Linked DNA regions of Drosophila melanogaster. The protein of the gene in region 2 interacts with the protein of the main gene of each other region in a pairwise test. Each region holds a gene or a part of one and is shown on either strand. Other genes may lie near its edges.

The links.
Region 1: the proteins of CG31029 (region 2) and Cen interact in a two-hybrid assay, tested with the Drosophila melanogaster proteins (one large-scale study listed by BioGRID).
Region 3: the proteins of CG31029 (region 2) and CG14383 interact in a two-hybrid assay, tested with the Drosophila melanogaster proteins (one large-scale study listed by BioGRID).

The regions. Positions count from the first base shown.
Region 1 is NT_033779.5:20,680,241-20,683,994, forward strand, and holds the start of Cen (centrocortin), read right to left. Parts: upstream 1,607-3,754; 5' UTR 1,379-1,606; exon of another isoform or gene 1,294-1,378; 5' UTR 1,253-1,293; coding exon 1-1,252. Other genes in the region: CG2617 (uncharacterized protein), read left to right, coding at 2,209-3,033.
Region 2 is NT_033777.3:30,130,796-30,134,549, forward strand, and holds the start of CG31029 (uncharacterized protein), read right to left. Parts: upstream 1,601-3,754; 5' UTR 1,419-1,600; coding exon 985-1,418; intron 923-984; coding exon 1-922. Other genes in the region: Tpi (triose phosphate isomerase), read right to left, coding at 2,447-2,653, 2,715-3,299, 3,484-3,738.
Region 3 is NT_033777.3:12,986,848-12,990,261, reverse strand, and holds CG14383 (uncharacterized protein), read left to right. Parts: upstream 1-1,750; 5' UTR 1,751-1,763; coding exon 1,764-2,762; 3' UTR 2,763-2,777; coding exon of another isoform or gene 2,778-2,829; 3' UTR 2,830-2,886; downstream 2,887-3,414. Other genes in the region: CG31342 (uncharacterized protein), read right to left, coding at 1-126, 238-1,656, 2,778-2,829, 2,906-3,414.

The DNA.
Region 1 (3,754 bases), on a different chromosome or scaffold from region 2:
TTGGAGTGCGCTTACGTGTTGAATCCAACATAAGGTCAGATTCCTTTGAGCTGTTAACAATTGTTTCTGATTTTTTGCCTTGACTGGACTCGGTCATGGTCTTCCCATCTGGATTGCTGGTGAAGTTGCTCTTGACCGCATTCGAGGTTCTCTTCACCTCCACCAGAGCTTCATATTTCTCGACTAGGTCCCGATAAGGATTTGGTTTGTCGCTAGAGTTGGGATTGAGGTCCTCGGGAATCCGGAAGCGTTCCTTATAATCCGCACCACTATTATCGCATTTCGAGGTGCTTTCGCTTAGTATGCTGCGATCGTCATCTTCGTAGATTTCTTCGGTTGGGGCAATGGAGGATTGATCATCCATATTGGTGTTGCTTTCGTTAATATCCCTCAGGCAGCGACTACACATTTGGCCTTGTCTCACGTCGTCCAGGAGGCTGAACTCCTCGTGCATCGACATTGTTCCCTCATTGGCACTGTTCTCCAGCAGACGTGTCTGCAGACCTTGGTTGTCTTGGATTATGGTCACCAACTGCTCCTCCAGCTCGGTGCACCGCTGCTGTTCGGCCAAGAAGTCACGTTTTAACACCTCCATTTCGCTGAGCAGCTTTACCAATTCCTCGTTGTCTTCACCCTTAACGGCGGTCCTCTCGCACATGGTGGCATTACTGAAGGAGATATCCTCCAATCCTGTCGAGTTCGCTATGGCCATAACATCTAGTTTGGAGAACTCAACACTCTGCTCCTTGCACAGCGATTGAATGCTGTGACTGGACACAGAACCCTCGGTCGAATGCTGCATCCTATAGCGTTCCTGCTGGTACTGATCCACCTTCCGCCGCTCGGTGCTCAGGGATTGCCGAGCATCGCTCAGAAGTTGACTCAGTTCCTCGCAGCGGGCTTCCAGGACTTCCGTGTTGGTGGTCAGCGTCTTAATCTGCTTCTTGTCCCGATTCTTCTCCAGATTTAGCCGCTGATTGGCACGCTCCAGATCCTGAATGCCCACTTCCAGCTGCTCGTAGACCTTAAGCCGTGAATCATTCACCTCGGTCATCGCATTAATGTGCTTGCGCAGATGCAAGATCTCCAGTTCCTGCTCATCCCCCTTAATCTTGTACTCCTTGATGAAGGTTTCCAGCTCCTTATTGCGTTCCAGGAGCGTTTTTCCCAGCTCTGCTGCCAATTGTAGGTCATCGAGCATGAACTGCGATACGTTTTCACAGCCAGCCGAACCGTGATTGGATTCCTCCATCTTGGACTTGGACCTTTCTAAGCTTGGGCTTGATGCGAACTCTGGCGAAAATTTAAAGATTTAATCGATTTTAGTTCATTTAGCAGCAGAGCTTTGTGAGCAAAGCAAAACTCAAACAGTAATTACTTGGCAAATGTCCTCTCAATGGTGGAAAACTGCTACAACAGTAACTTTTTTACTGTTTCATCCCCAAAAACAAAAAGTATGGTATTGCAGCGAGTGCAGAAAAAGCCCTACGTACTAGGGCGCAACTGCATGTACGAATAGTTAATTAATGCTTTTTATTATACACAATCGACCTGCAGACAAAGAACCGAAATGAACTTCCTAGCAGAACCGGAAATAAATTTATAATAGGATTATTCGCATTAGGGGGATTCCTGCTCAGATAGGGCTATGATTTAAGCTCGCCTTTCTTATATAACCCCTCGCGAGTTGTTTGGGGAAACCTTGTTGGATTCTGAAATACCAGCAAAATGCACGGATGTATAATTATATTTTTGAGCTTTCATTGTCTTTGAAAGAAGCATGCAATATCATAATAGATCAGTACATGAATACCCATATTAATTATTACGCATATTTATAGTTGTCAAAATTAATAAATCCAAATTGTTATGTCTCCTTAGTAATTCCTTTGCTCACAGAAGCAAAATATTTGTTTGAACATTATTAATTTAAGTTACCCTAGAATTTGGCGTATTTAAAGTTCAGATACCATCTAAGTTTAAATATATCTAGGAAGTGCAACCGATAATGTGTGGGGTGTTAAAAATAAATATATATATTAATTATACAAATATTTAAGATAAGTAATTATTTGACGCTACCTTATCGCAACGATAGCTTGGCTTTAATTACCAACCACCGCCTGGTCACACTAAGCGGCCGGCGTTCTTGTTTTGATTTTGTGTTTCTTCCTTTTCTTAATTCGAGGACAGTATGAGCCCCCCGCCATGCTGGACGCTCTAATTCGGGCAGCGGAGCTTGTGGATCTGGTCCTGCTGCGTCCGCTGGCCAGCGTGATTGATGCAGTGATTACTGGCGTGTACTACTTCCTGTGGGGCAGCTACCTCGTCGGCTTCTGTTTGGTGGAGGGCAGCAGGAAAGGATGGAATCTGTTGAGATGCGCGGTCAGGAATATCAACGAGGGCATCCGCGACTTGGGCCTCATCACGCTAGATGTGGCGGACTACTTCTACGGCGGCACCAAAGGCGGGCTCAAGAATGTACTCGATTTTGGTCACTGCATATCCCGATTCATCTGCAACTTACTCATCGATCTGGGTGATGGCATCTTGTGGCTGCTGATGCTGCTGCCGAGGGCCATACTATTCCTCTGGGACTGCCTCCTAGACTTTGTGGTGCACTCAATCGTGGCCCATGGCTTGAGCTTGCTGAACAGTGCGTTCCGGGCCTCGATAGGATTGGCCCTGCTCCTCGTTCTCTATATGTTCCGCCGCTATGTGTACCTGATGCTCATCTACCTGCTGCAACGTGGACGCATTGAAATCTCGACGAAGACGCAAAGCGTTTACCTATGGACCCATCATAAATTGCAACACTTCATACACAATGTTTGGTATGTGTCAGAGAACGCAGGATCCGCGAGTCCAGAACGCTGTGTCGTGTGCATGGCTCAAAGCAGGAACGTAGTAGTCATGCCATGCCGGCACCTCTGCCTCTGCAAAGAGTGCTCCCTGCAGCTCGTGCTCCTTTTAGAAGACCGCTGTCCTGTCTGCAGGCACAACATTACGTCGTTCCTGTCAGTTTACGTTTGATATATAAGACTGCCAATTGGAATTTAACTTATAAGTAATTATGATTCTCAGAAGTTAACCAAATGTCTTTGGTTAAGACACTTGTAATAGAAAAAACAAATAATCTTTACAAAGCAGAACAGACAAAACATTTTAATGCAGCTTTCAATTCCCAGACACCTAAAATATCAAGTAAAACAAGTTAAATTGTTTTATGTATTTATTTCAAACCAATGAAAATATACGATTTGTTTTGTATACATTTATGTAAATACGGTTTGGTTTTGCGTATAACTAATTTGCTCAAAAGACAGATATAGAAAAAACGTTTGTTTTGGGCTTACATCGTTTAAGTATATATAATTAAAGATTAAATCGAAATGAAATGATTCGCTTTGCTTGTTATCGTATTGCAGAGTTAATTGAATTGCAAGTTATAGTTCTTCCATCATAACACTTATATGATTTGGGTTCTTAACTGGTAAATGAAACGATCAAATAAGAGTAAATTACACAACTGGCAATATAGCATTGGTAGTACCGATGTCTATCAGATAGACATTTGTGATAGCGTCTATAGGTTTCACCTCTCTTTCTGCTTTCTGCATTTCTAGTAGTAGGCGCATAAGTGGGCTGGATATACATAGCTAATGTACATACATAGCTTAGGTTATCTATTGTGTGGTTGGGGGTGTAGTGGGAAATAGCGCCCGATGTACCGATTGACGCTCTTATTACGAAT
Region 2 (3,754 bases):
TGGGAGTGGCTCAATCTTGCACTCATTTTCCTTAAAAAAGTTGTCGCAGAGCTTCCGGATGCGGCATCGAGTGCAGGGTTTCCCGCCCAAGCAGCCACATTGCTGCGGAACATTGGGATCATCCTTGTTCTTGTCGCCCATGGCTTCATCATCACCTTTGGACGGGTCCAGTTCACAGGTCTCCTTGCGCAGGCAGTCCCTTAGCAATTGCTGGGCAGTTGCCGTAAGATCGTAGGGCTGCTCGCTGGGCTGTATGTCCTCGAAGGTTTTGTAGCCACAGTAGGGACAGGCGGAGATCTTGGGCAGCCAACTGATGTCCGAACGGCAGAGCTGGCAGAGATTCGGTGGCTTGTAGGCCTCCTGTGTTAAAACAGGCTCTTTTACAGGACAGGTGCCCATGAGTCTTCGACGAGCAGCCCGCTCCATGGAGGCAGTCAAGGATATGGCCTTTCTCTTTCTAGGAGGCTTTTCCGCTGTGAACTCATTGGTGTCACAGGAGGAAGTATCTGTGCTGGAACTCGGCTGCTTGCACTTGCAATGCCAACGACGGGACTTTTCGTGTGTGTCTGGAGGACTGGGTACTTTTATCTCGTCTAGACCCAGTTCATCGACGAGCTTCTTCAGAGCGGCCTTTTCTCTCTTTTTCTCCGTGCCAACATCCGGAGGTAATTGCATTCCTTTCAGGAAACACCCACATCTGGCAAAGGCACCGCCTTTGTTATCCTGATCCTCCTGATTCTGACTTGCGGCGTGTGGACATTGGAAGGGTGCTCCCGCGTGCGACATCAGGCGCTCATCCGTGATGCAGCTGTTCGTTGCACACTTTCCGGAGCGTCCCAGGGTGAAGATAATATCCTTTTTGTTGATCGAATGATCCACAGGCTTGCACACGTCATAGCAGCCAAAGGGAATCAAGCCGTGGCTAGAGAGGATTGTGATTTAATAGGAATACTACATTTCCCCTATCTGGTTAACACCACTTACTTTATATCCGGTGAAGCGGAGCTGATCTTTAGGAGTAGCTCCACCTCACCCACTCGGTCGTTCTTAGGCCCTTTGGTCAGTTGAACTGTAACACTCTGGGTAACCGAAAAGCTGGGGTCTGTCAGCTGGCGCAGGATTGAAGATTCCAGCGTGGCGTTGCCCGATCCTATGAGCTCGTCGTTCTCTTTGAGAGTGACGCCTACGCCCTTGGATGTCAATGCTCCTATTAGCTCACAGGGACTGCTGGTAAAGCCACCCAATGCCTCTGTGGGAAACTGATCCACGAATATGCGTTCCATGGACAGCTCCTCAAAGTCCTCGAACAATCGAACCGAGTAGACGGGCCTCCCACCCGCACTGAAACTGGCGGACTTGCGGGGAATCGGCAAACTGGAGTTCACAAGGATAACGTCAAAGACATAGTACTGCGTCATGTTGATCTTCTAGGGAAACTATCGCTAAAACCAAGTTAAAATTTTCTTTACTCTCTAAAGATTTGGCTAAAAACTTATTTAATTTGTTCTGATATAAAACTCCAGTCTGAATAAAATCGATGTGTTCAGGATCAGAAATGACAATAAAAAGCTCAAAAACGGAGAACTAGAGCTTGTCAAATCGATAATGTATCTAAGGCCACTTGGGTTCAAGAATTCTCAGCCTGTTCATGTTTTGAGAAAAACTGAATAATATTTTGTTGATTTACTAACCATAAATTACTTACTAAGCTAAATAACTTATCAGCTACAAAGAAATTGCCTTGTTTAGCTCCATATTTGCCAAACTTTGTGCACAATCTTCGAACACTTCGATTAGAAATGAACTCTGAGTATAAGTATAAAGTATAATAAGTACAAACTGTTTTCCTTTCTTATCTCAAGTTAAGCTATCTTATGATGCATTGCTTCTTCTTGAAGGCTTTTATGCAAGATATTGTCAAAAACATGATGCAAATGATTTGATTCACTTGTTAGGTAAGTGAATACAATGATTGCCTCGATTACTCAGTTGGAACTCATATTCCAAATATTTGCCATTTCGCATGCTTATCAGAAATTAAGTAATAACTTGTTCGGTTTAAGGTCCGCAGAGGTGACACATATATGTACATATGTGCACACAACTTTGGACACCTTGTCGTTCAACCAATCGCTCTAAAAATAGCTGAAATAGTCTTGCAAAAAATAAGACACCTGTTTGGTTTGGTATATAAGTAAATGAGTAGCGCATAATTATTGCCTGAATAATTTAAGATTTACACAATGGACTACTATACGTTCAACAACAAGGATGTGAGTAGCATTCTCGCAAGGTAACTATGAATTTGGAACTGCACTTGGTGGTGACAACAACTAGGTGTGTGCGTAATGCATTCGCGCGCAGGAGTATGGAGTCCTGCCCTCCAGTGCCTCCTTCGCGGGCAGTTCGCTGGCCGAAAGCGATCTGATGCTTGAGATCGCGTTGCTTACTGCCGGGCGTTGATGATGTCCACGAACTCGGGCTTCAGGGAGGCGCCTCCGACCAGGAAGCCATCTATGTCGGGCTTCTTGGCCAGCTCCTTGGCGTTGGCGGCGGTCACGGATCCACCGTACTGGATGCGCAGGCTGGCGGACACCTCCTTGGAGATGTTGTCGCTCAGCCACTGGCGCAGGAAGGCGTGGACCTCTTGAGCCTGCAATTGGGAAGGGAAAATATCAGTTCTGGAAGAGATTAGCCTCTGCGGGCGACCTTACCTGATCGGGTGTGGCGGTCTGGCCGGTGCCAATGGCCCAGACGGGCTCGTAGGCCACCACCACGTTCTTCCAGTCCTTGATCTTCTGGGCGTAGGCGCACATTTGGCGGGCCACCACCTCGTTGGTCTTGCCGGCCTCGCGCTCCTCCAGGGTCTCACCAATGCAGGCGATGACCTTGAGGCCCTCGGCCAGGGCGTGCTCGGCCTTCTCGGCGATCAGGGCGTCCGATTCGCCGAAGATGGCGCGACGCTCCGAGTGTCCCAGGATCACCCAGTCGGCGCCGATGTCCTTCAGCATCGCAGGGGAGATCTCGCCGGTGAATGCGCCCTTGGCCACCTTGTAGGCATTCTGGCCGGCCAGACCCAGCTCGCAGGGCAGCAGGTTGCGGGCGTACATCAGGTAGATGGCCGGGCAGCCGATGACCACCTCCGTGTTGGGGTCGAGGGCGGCCGAGCTCAGGGTCTTGGCGATCTCGGCGATGGACTTCTGGTCGCCGTTCATCTTCCAGTTGCCTCCCACGCAGAACTTTCGGCTCATGTTGTTGCTGTTGCTGTCGGTGCAATCGGTGCTGAAATTGGCGTAGAACTGCGGATCGGGGGACAAAACAAGGGGACTGCTATTAGAGTGTTTGGAACTGATAATTTCAAGTGGGTAACTCGATGACTGGAGGCTCGCCGTCGACTTTTCCACTCAGATTTTTCCCAGATTCGAGATTAATCCCGGCACAGAGCACACACCCACCTCGAAGTTCGTCTGCTTATGTACTAACCTTCTTTTGACCTTCGTAAGTCTTCCACTGGCACTTGAAAAGCTTTGGGAAAACAGCTGTGAATTTGCCCAGCAGAGCTTCCGAAACGACGGCTTTTAGTACCTCCGCCGTAACACCACCCACAGTGGGTCGGTTCTGGTCCATGGTGGGGATGGTGTGGTGGTTCCGATGATACGGGAATCGCTGGAGAAGCGTTACTGATGCAATGCACTGGATACCGTTCCTGTTCAGATCATTGAGTACTCCAGGCGGCATTTCTATTGTGGTTACA
Region 3 (3,414 bases), about 17 Mb from region 2:
TTCCTTATTATCTTGTTGGCCTCAGCTGCACTGCTAATGCTCACACCTGCTATGGACAGTAGCTGATCACCGATGTGTAGGGCATTGTAGAGCACAGGGTGTTCCTTCTGCTTCCAGCCTGCAATCCTGTAAACACAACTAGTTAGTGAATCATACCAATTGCTTATACAATTTCCAAATATAATTCGGTCTACATACAATCACCGTGGAGATGATACGAAGTTCTCTCTAACTTACCAAACGCCACCGAAGGCTTCTACCCAAGCGATGGAACCGACGCAGTCCTTGCGCCTTAGATTCAGTCGCACTCCTCCAGGATGCATAATCTCGCGACGCAGCTGCATCACTTGCTGCTCCCGCAAAGTCAATCGCTTGTTGGGCGACTGCTGGGCGGGATTGGTGCTTGACGGAGGTGTTCCCTGTGGCGGTGGCTGCATACGAAAGGCTCCGTTTCGGGATGGCGTAAACTCGTTATTGTTAGCGTTACGCTGCGTTGCGGGCTGAGGGACCCGCTGAAGTGGAGCCTGGGCATCGGATGTGGACGAACTGCGTCGCCGCTGCTCCTGGCTGTCACCGGTTACAATCGAGGTGTTATTCCTTTGCGTTGGCGTAACTTGGGTACTATTGGAGCTGGAAGGCGTGGATTGTTCAATGTTGTTATTCGCGGCGCTGGTTGACTTGTGCGATGTCTTCGTTTTCAGTGGCGTGTTCAACAGCTTTAGGTAGTGGAAATCCCTTCTACTTGGCCGCGAACTAATGACCAGTTCGGTTAGTCCTCGGGTCAACTGCGGCGTCGCCCTGCCGGCTGCATTGGGGGTCACTGGTTGCGCCGTTGCCGGCGAAGCCAACCGACGACGTGGCAAAGCTGGACTGCCATTAGTCACTGGCTGTGTGGTATTCGTGTTTGCCACTCTTGTGGGACTGCTTCTGCTGGTGATCGGAATGCTGGAGGAAAGGAAGACCTTCTCGTAGTGGATATTACCACTGATTATGGAGTCACTGCCCTGTTCTGTATTCACGCTAATATTCGTAATGCCCGAGGTGTTGGCACTGAGTATTATCTTTTTACTTAATCTGGGCGTCTGCGGCTTGGCAGGATTAACAGAGGAAGAGGCTGCGGAAGAACTGGGTGCACTTCCTCCGGCCGCTGGATAGCAGGTGCCGTAGACAGCCACCTTGGTGGTTGCGTCTCCGTCACCCAACACCTTTACTTTCGTGGTGCCCGACACCTGTGAACTGGAGCCATTGGACGAGCTTTGCTTAACGGGCGTTGTATACGGATTGCTGCTACTGGACTGTTTGCCAAGGACTTGAATGGTACTGGTACTGCTACTGGCGTTGGACGGAATGATTTGTACGTTGCTTTTATACTCGTGATGGGTCTGGATTGGCTGCTGCTTGGCATTAGTCTGGGGCTTGCTCTTAACCTCAGGGAATCGAAACACCTCAGCGGTGGTGGTGTTCTTGGGCGGCAGTTCGGGTGGATGTTCCTGGCCACTGTTGGCGGTATTCGACACTTGGATAATTGTGATGTTGTCCTGAGAGTCCGCACTGTTCGTAGGAGCGGCGCTCGAAGATTGGGATTGGAGGGGCTTGCGTTGCGGTCGCTTTGATTTGTCTGCCGCTCCAGCTGACATGGATCGCGATGTTTGCGGTCTAAAAGAAAACAGGAATACATTTTAATATTTGATAAAGAATGCTGACGTCATAGTAGGCTGATTTCTAAATCACAAGCCAGTTTGATATAAACAAATCTTGGAGACATGGCCAAACCGTTTTCTTTGACAGAGGAGAAGCTAGATGACCTATTTGTGCAGGAGGTTGTCAGTGTGGTGAAACTGGTGGACATGCTGCCCGATAAAGATAACATTGTGCCCACATGCACCCGATGGCTCAACATCTTCCAGCAGTCAACGCCGAAGGAACGCTTTTCCAGAAACTATATGCTACTGCTCCTTCATAAACAACTCAATGATCACAAATCGTTGGGTTATCCATTTACGTGGCCGGGCAGTTTCCAGTTGGATTTGCGCACTCTTCACCAAATGAGCCTAAAACCGAATCCCGCAATCGGCAAAGATGTTGTATGCTGCAAATTTGATGAAAGTTTGAATGAGGAGGAACAGTCTTCTTTTAGTTCATGCGAGAATATAGTGGAGGCCAATCGTAGGTTGGTCAAAGAAAACGCTGCACTAACCAAGGAGTCGATGGAGCTTCAATGTCTGATCGATAAGTTGCAGGTGAAACGCGCGGCGGACAAACATGCCATTAAAAGGATAAATGATCAGATTTACATGCTGGACAAGGAGAACCGATATCTGAAGCGAAATTTCGCCTGCTCCTCAATCAGCGCCCTAAAAAGACTATGCAATGGACAGGATCCGGCGATGTTTTTTGACACCATGTTCAGTGTTTTCTGCGAAGACGTATCAGACCACCAGCAGGTGCAGCACTTTAACGAACTCTTCAAAACCTTGCTACATGCCCACATGGATCACTACCGGCGACAGCAGCGTGCTCCTCTGATGGAGGAGGCAAGCCAAAGTTTTGACAATCTGAAAGCCCAGGTGAGCAAGAGATACAAAAATGTGTTGGGCATGAAATTGGATGCCGAGAGCCACGAGCTCACCCTCAGTGCCATGAGATATCTAGCCGTCCTGCGAAAATTGTTCAAGGCCACCTTTAAGGGCAAAGCGAGCACCAAGAAGGCAGTACTCAAGTTCCTGCAGCACAACTACGAGCTTATGAACGAGATGTTGTAGGATGGATTCACTCACCTGGGAATCAGTCGTTCGCATTGCAGAATGTGCTCCAAATTTAGGACTTGATCTACAATTTTAGGTTATATTTTGTAATGTTAGAGTAAAAATTAAATATATTTAGGTTATATAAAAAATATTCATACCGGCAGAAACGCGCTGTCCAGTGACCACCACGACGTCAACGCGAGCTCCATTCTCGGTAAGCATACATGCCTTGCGCAGCAAGGGCGACAGGTATTCGTCATCCGAGAGATTCAAATCGGCATCACTAGTGGTCGGTTGCTCCGCTGGAGGTTCCTCAGCTACAGCAACATCTTCCTGACCAGAGGCTGACTCTACCGACTCACTGATCTGCTCGCTGTAGGTGCTTATGGGATCGGAGAGCATGTTGAGGAGGTGCTGCGTTAAAGTGTTGGACATGGCAGCGGGAGCAGGGGCAGGAGGTGCAGGTGTGGTGGGCACTGGACTTGTTGGTGGCTCAGGAGGTGGTGCTGGCGGAGCCTGATGGCTGGGTGCCACCACACGCTCGACGCCCGGTACCAGAGCCGCCGGAACTGGAGGAGGTGGTGGCAGTGGCGATGTGGGATCCCGCGTGGGCAGCAACGGTGCGCGCACTTCAGGTAGCTTCGTGTAGAGGTTTTCGCGCGGCGAC